Arabidopsis thaliana: one gene and its partner. The protein of the gene in region 1 interacts with the protein of each later gene in a pairwise test. Each region holds a gene or a part of one and is shown in the gene's direction. Other genes may lie near its edges. The genes, in order: AT1G78310 and WRKY8.

The links.
Region 2: the proteins of AT1G78310 (region 1) and WRKY8 interact in a two-hybrid assay, tested with the Arabidopsis thaliana proteins (one study listed by BioGRID).

What each region holds. Positions count from the first base shown.
Region 1 is NC_003070.9:29,463,194-29,467,128, reverse strand, and holds AT1G78310 (VQ motif-containing protein), read left to right. Parts: upstream 1-1,879; 5' UTR 1,880-2,190; coding exon 2,191-3,126; 3' UTR 3,127-3,581; downstream 3,582-3,935. UniProt on the Arabidopsis thaliana protein: Functions as a negative regulator of salt stress response.
Region 2 is NC_003076.8:18,802,124-18,806,058, reverse strand, and holds the start of WRKY8 (WRKY DNA-binding protein 8), read left to right. Parts: upstream 1-2,002; 5' UTR 2,003-2,157; coding exon 2,158-2,624; intron 2,625-3,416; coding exon 3,417-3,557; intron 3,558-3,935. UniProt on the Arabidopsis thaliana protein: Transcription factor. Interacts specifically with the W box (5'-TTGAC[CT]-3'), a frequently occurring stress-responsive cis-acting element. Functions as a positive regulator of salt stress response.

The sequences.
Region 1 (3,935 bases):
TTTTTTTTTTGGTTCTACAGAGTACAAGCTATCCAGGTTGAAAAATAATGCACAGAAGCATTTTTTTTTTCTTTTTCAAAAGCATAAATTTTCATCACAGAGAACAACCAAAACGTTAAATTTCTTCATTGTAGGACGCAAACAATAAATTAGAATCCATTAGCAGGAAAAACGGATTTAACAAAACCAAATGGACTGTAGAAATTGTTTTTGATAAGAATCAAATGGATAGTAAAATTGCAATGTATGGATCAAATAATTTATTACCCGTTTTACCTTTAGAATAAATATCGTAAGCATATATAAGACTTTTTTGCCGTCAATTGTTGGGTAAAATGAAACAACCAAACTTTATCTTTTGTTTAAATCCATAAATTCTACAAAACCTGACAAGTTTATTCCAAAGTAAGGTGTAACCGAAACTTATAAAAGAAAATGATCGACGTGATTGATACATATAAAGATATTATAATCTATGTATCATTCTTTCTATCATTGAATCTTGTAAAACTCATGGAATAATAAATTATACATTTCTAATAAAACAAAACTGCAAAAGATGAATATGCATGGAGTTGTATCAAATCCTCGGAAATATAACAACTCCGCATAGTAATTACTCGAATAGGTATTGGTCACAGAAACTTAGAAAATTCACTGTTACGAAATAACGTTCCCAATTAAAATACGTTTAAACCAATTTATTGAATGATACGTTTCAGTGTAATAAGCTTATTACTAAAGGCTTTTACCAATGCAAGAATATTTCAAACATTATTCCCTTTATTTTATTGTAACAAAAGAGAATATTTCAAACATTCCTATTCTCAAAAATTGGACATTTGGCCAACCATCTTCACATCATGCTAATCAGATATAGAGACCAGATTCATCTCAATTACTACATGATTAATCACTTCTACAAATCAGACATTAACAGTGTAACTAATACTCCATTTTGAAGGAAACAAAAAAAAAGGGTCGAAAGTCCATGTGATAGCTGTCTGTCTCGTGCTAATCTCACAGCCGTTGGATAAGTCGTTTGCTGACTTGAATCGGAGATTTCGGTGGAGTACGAAGTACAGGATAACTACCCATTAGTTTAAAAGACTGTACGAATGTCGTTTTCGGTAATACTTTTGGGGCTTTTGACCAAAATGGGCGTTGAATAACCCGACCCGTTAACCCAACTTATTTGTATTGTTTTATATATTATTTCATTGTTGAGCTTATTATTTGTAATTTTGTATAGCATTAAACAGAATTTTTTTAATGTGGTAGTTGTTTTTCATGAGATAACAGAAATTTTCAGATTTTTGTAATCTATATTATTGGCTTGATTTAGCAATTTTGGTTTGAATTGACACACCATATACTTAAATGCATGATTTACTAGATAAACTGAAAATTAAGTCATTCTGACAAAAAAGTTTATACGAACAATATCATTTGTGAAGCATGGTTTTGTTTTAGCGAGCTATTTATCAGAATTTTTAATATTTGTATCATCATTCCCAATTTCCCATAGATGAAATCATGAAAATACATTTTACTAATTCTGTTTTTTTTTATATAATTAAAATCATTATGAACAATAAACACTATCAGAATCTCAATATATTCTCCTCTCAAAACTTCAGTTTTTTTTTCCATTTGCTTTAGTTAGAAACAAAAATAAAGAAACAAATCTTAAAAAGAAGAGATGATATATTTCCATGTATATACAACTACAAGTATAGCATAAATTACAACTCACAACATCTAAATTTCTTTCTTAAAAAACAGTTACAACGAAACTAAATGCAGTAACCAATTAAGGGATTAAACAATATACAAATTGGTCAGGAATAGAATATATAAAGGTACATGTTCATACATATAAACACGCATTAATTATTTAATTAATCAGAGCATTATATGGAAGAGAATCCATAGATAAACATACAGACAAATTATTTCCTTTTCATCTTATTCTAGAAAAATCCAATTAAAGCTACTTATTATAGTCGTATAGCCTATAGTTTATATAAAACCAAAATTGTTTTTAACTTATAAAATATCTTTAAAATAAAATAAAAAGAGAAAAAAAAAGCCATTTTCATTTTTTCATCATCTTCGTCTTCTCCATTATCTCTCTACCCAAATCTGGCAGAGAAAAACAAAAGAAGAAGAAGAAGAAAAACTTTCGATATGGATAAGAGCTGTAACTCCTCCGGCGATTCCTCCGCCGTATCCGCCTCTGCAACGAGTAGTACCGGTAACAATACAACGAACAGAGATCATTACCTGAGACAACTCAATAAGCTGTCTCATAAGATATCAAAACCGACGAACTCTTCCTCCTCCGTCTCCGTCGCGAATCGTGAAATTGATCTTCCACCTCCTCCACCGCTGCAAATCAATCAAGGGAATCTCCATCAACATCAACCTCCTGTTTACAATATCAACAAGAACGATTTCAGAGATGTTGTTCAGAAACTAACCGGTTCACCTGCACATGAACGGATCTCTGCTCCGCCGCAACAACCGATTCATCACCCTAAACCTCAACAGAGTTCGCGTCTACATAGGATCCGTCCTCCTCCTTTGGTTCACGTTATCAATCGTCCTCCTGGTTTGCTAAATGACGCACTTATCCCTCAAGGTTCTCATCACATGAATCAAAACTGGACTGGCGTTGGATTTAACCTTCGACCAACGGCGCCGCTTTCTCCTCTCCCGCCGTTACCACCGGTTCACGCGGCGGCGGAATCACCGGTCTCTTCGTACATGCGGTATCTCCAGAACTCGATGTTCGCAATCGATTCGAATCGGAAAGAGTTCTCTGGATTATCTCCGTTAGCTCCTTTGGTCTCACCTCGTTGGTACCAACAACAGGAAAACGCTCCACCATCGCAGCATAACAGTTTTCCACCACCACATCCTCCTCCTCCTTCCTCTGCTGTTTCGCAGACGGTGCCGACATCGATTCCGGCGCCTCCACTGTTTGGATGTTCAAGTTCGCCTAAATCTCCGTACGGATTACTCTCACCGAGCATACTTTTATCGCCATCGTCAGGTCAATTAGGGTTCCCTGTATCTCCGACGACGGTGCCGCTTCCTAGCCCTAAATACAAAGGTCATTGATCAGAAAATCGGAAACCCTTGTCGGTCAAAGTGAGAAAACGTCGTCGTTTTGACCGTCGCGACAAAATTCCCTTTGTTCTTTTTGTACATCATTAGTGGAGAGTGGTGGGATCATTTGTTTTTTTTTTTGTTAATTAACTCAAAGATTACTTAAATCCGTTTTTTTTTTTACTTTCTTTTGTTTTCATGGTTTGTTCATGTTAGAAACAAAGAAGACTAGGAAAAAGAAAGGAATACACTTTTGCAACTCTATTCAATTTTTATAAGTTTGCCATTATGATTTCATCTCTTTGTAAATCAGATTGCATACAAGAGTTTTTTCTTCATCGTCTATTCGATGGGGTATTAAATTTTTGATTGGTTGATTAGCTATACCAAACACTTCACTGTTCCTTTGGTTGAATTTTATGCTCTGATGCTTTCATTTTAAGTTGAAACTTCAAACTCTGACGAGATCATTAATTTAAACCTGTAAAGTGTCAAATGACTAACGAGTGTCTATTGCTTAAATAGTTCTTTTGAAATGTATTTTTATTTTTATATAATCAAATTGATGATTGATTTCAGACCAGGTAAAGTAATTGGCTTTACGCAGTCCAATAAACTAGTCCGCTTTTAAAATTAAAAATTGATAAACAATCAATCTACGCAACAAGATAAGAGACAAGAGACTTTATGATCTTCAAATTGATGAGAAAAGAAAGCAAGTTTCGATTACACAGACATTGAAATCGATAACAACAAAGAAATAAGAAAAGAGAAAATAAATTAAAAAGAGATAAAAAGATGATTGATGGTTCAGACTTGCC
Region 2 (3,935 bases), on another chromosome or scaffold:
ATTAAGCTGTGAACAAGTGTATCAATATACTATGGGCTGATTTTTTTTTTATTTTTTTTTAAGTTTCAAAAGCCAAATCTTTTCCAATTAAGCTTTAATTATCTTCCTAATAACAGCCCCAAAAATGTTCCTAAATGTGTTTTAAAGATGTTTGCGTTTTTGTTAAGCCAACAAAAATGTGACCTTATTATTTTTGAAATGTGTTTTTTAGAATTGACTAATTTTGTTCGGTGCATTGCCCAATTAAATTTGCATTGTATTCAAAACAACTAGCTAGTAGTTATTGAAGTTTTGGTCCTTTGAGCATCATGGCTGAGTTGCTTTAATTTCTTTGGGCCATCGAGAATCTTGAATCGTAGTTTTGTCTTGAAAACGTTTTTCATCATTATTCGCATTTTTCGGAAACATTAGAATTGCAATTTAAATCTTTATATCATTTGTTTTTTTGATAAAGGGACAAGGGTTAGCAAACTTTTTAATCAAGTATTCCTATCAGCTGCATGCATAATGCTTTTTTTCAGATCGCATGAAGCTGAGATTCGTAATTTGAACAAAAAAATCCAGACACATGAACAGTTTATAAGTATACATTATTATATAGGTATAAATCTATAAAAGGAAAATAGGTATTTGACTGTACCTATGTAAAGTCAATTTCTGTTCACTTCTCATTGTCATTTTCGGTTAGGAATCATGTCTCTCTCTCTCTGTTTTTTTCTTTTTCATTTCCTATATATTTTCGATCATGTTTCACATTTTTATCCCAAAATAAAATAATTTGTTTTGTTGACAAAAAAAAAATGTATTAAATATTAAAGCATTGATATTTGACCGTAGTTCATATATTTAGTTATTTCTATTACTCTAACGTTCCTTTAATGTTTGGGGAAAGTTCTAATGTGAAAACTGAAAAGAGATTCTGCAGCGTGAATCGTGATGACGTTGGTAAATCGTCAGTATTTCGATCATATTTCTCTTTTCAACAGATAAAATCTAAACCTATACATAATGCAAAATGATTCATATAATCTTTCTTTAACGTCCTTGCTATTAGCCAAGCTTATTACAATATGAATCACTTTAATAAAGGATTTAAGCACCTGATAAGAAATTTCATTTTGTATATTGTTTTTTATAAAAATTAAGATTTTCATGTAAATTGGTTGTAACTAAGGTCGAAATTACACGGGAATATAATGTAATGTATAACATTGTCGCATTTGCACCTTGACTTTGGTGGAATATTAAATTGATAGACTAACGTCTGATATTTATTAGGGTTTGAGAACACAAATCCAGTAGTCCACCACGTGCCAGGTAATGTGTCGGTTACGGTCAAATGCCGGTGCCAATAATTACACGTGTCATCCTAATAACCCCACAATTCTCTTTGACTTTTTGACTTGGCTCTTCCTTCTTCACATAAAGATGACCGGAGACTGACTATTTCCGGTTACCGGTTAACTATTAGTCAGCATCATCGCCTTCTTCTACAACAAAGCTTGTTCCCACCTTATTCCACAATCTAAAAAATGGTAAATAACTAAACATTTACTTTTAAGACCCAAACATCTTTAAAAAGGTAAAAAAATAACCATCTTTTCAGGTTTTACTTGGTCAGAGTCAGACTTAAAAGAAGTTTCTTTATGATGATAAAATGGCTTTTCCTTTTATGTTCATGTTCACATTAAACGTTTAAGAAACAAAATGACAAGTATATGTTTCCTCACTCGAGGCCACTTTTGTAACTCTCGATTTGGGAGGTAAAACGCATCTTGTCAACTCAACTTTATAAAAGTTATCATTATTTTAAAAATACAATAAAAGTCATTCAAACCCCAAAACTCTTTTTGAATCATTCACACTTCAATACTCTTTCATTCAACCTTAGATTTGTATATATCTAAGACAAAATAAAATATGCTAAAACGCCATTTACTATATTTATTTAGCAAGACATAAAATAATATATATTTTCAAAAGGCATAAATACGAGAAGACCCAAAAGTCTTAACACCAAATTTAGACCGACTAAAAAATTCATTAACGTAAAAAAGTTCTTGTTTCTTTCTTTCTTTTCTTCTTCTTCACGCTCCTCTCTTTGTCATTTTCTTTTTCTTTCTTTTTGGTTTAAGTTTTTTCTCTTTGTTCTTCGTCATGTCTCATGAAATCAAAGATCTTAACAACTATCACTACACTTCATCGTATAATCATTACAATATCAACAACCAAAATATGATTAATCTCCCTTACGTTTCTGGTCCATCTGCTTATAATGCAAACATGATCTCATCATCACAAGTAGGTTTTGATCTACCCTCGAAGAACTTGAGTCCTCAAGGAGCCTTCGAGTTGGGTTTCGAGCTTTCTCCATCTTCTTCTGACTTTTTTAATCCTTCCCTCGATCAAGAGAACGGTTTGTATAATGCTTATAATTATAATAGTAGTCAAAAGAGTCATGAAGTTGTCGGTGATGGTTGTGCAACCATTAAGAGTGAAGTTAGGGTTTCAGCATCTCCTTCTTCAAGTGAGGCCGATCATCATCCAGGAGAAGATTCCGGCAAGATCCGGAAGAAAAGAGAAGTTCGCGATGGAGGAGAAGATGATCAACGCTCTCAGAAAGTGTAAGTTTCATAAGTGTTATCCTAATTAAATTACTTAGTTAAGCAAGATAAATATATTTAGAATTCACATGAATCATGATCAGTTTGACTAATTTCTTTTGCTTTTATTTACCAAATAACAAAAAAAAAACTTCTCTGATCTTAATTACGAGAAAGAAAAAAAAACACATTTCTTGTTTTTCACTTTGAGGCCCATATCAAATATAATTATTTTCATTGCTTGAAAATTATTTTCATGAACTAACTAAGCAATACTGATTTCAATTTTTTTAGACTAACATAAAGTATATAGTTTGCATGCCATAAAATGACATCTTTAAGAACAACGTCGAGATTTAAATTTTGATAAAAGTATATATGTACTTGTGAATATTTAATTTTACATTAATATTTTTAGGTAGAATTTAAGTTTCATAATTGAAAGAATGACAACTCAAGTTATTTCGTTCATATTTTTTCTGTAATACAATTTAATATTTGAGATTCTATCCTGATTTTTGTTTTCAAAGATTATTTATTTCATTTGTTCGTACCTATAATTATTGATGTATAAATCTTATCCCTAAAGAAACCACTTAAACAAAAAGACGTGTCCCATTTATTTTTTGGCAGACTACACCTTAAGATTATTGTATTTCTTGTGTCATATGTCCTAACAATCATTTGATGCTTATCTTAGTTTAATATAGTTCAATGAATCAAAGTCAAATGTACGGTACGGTGCCATTAATTAAAGATGGTCCAACTTAGTTAAGTATTGATTTAATTGATCAGTAACATATGGTTCACCAGAGTTAAAACAAAGAAGAAAGAGGAGAAGAAAAAAGAGCCACGAGTCTCGTTCATGACTAAGACCGAAGTTGATCATCTCGAAGACGGCTATCGTTGGAGAAAGTATGGCCAAAAAGCAGTCAAAAACAGTCCTTATCCGAGGTAATTTATTCGGTCAATATATAATTTGTTAACTGATCGATTATTACATACGAAAATAGATTAAGTATGGCAAAATGTCGCAAAATGTAGTTTTGAGTTTAGCTTTTGGCTTTTTCAAATCTTAAGCATTATTTATCAATTTGAAAAACTAAAATAAACTGAACTTTTGTTTCTTTCACTTATCTCTCTCCAACCAAGGTCTAAGAATCCTTGAATATTGTATTTTAGTTTTGTTTATTGATGATTTGATCTTTTGTTTCAACTTAACTAATTCTGGATTTATATTTACATTTATATTTCAAACAATAATTTTCAAGTTACCAGAAATTTTAAAACAAGAACTTTTCTTATACCATCATGTGATTTGTTTTATTTTTT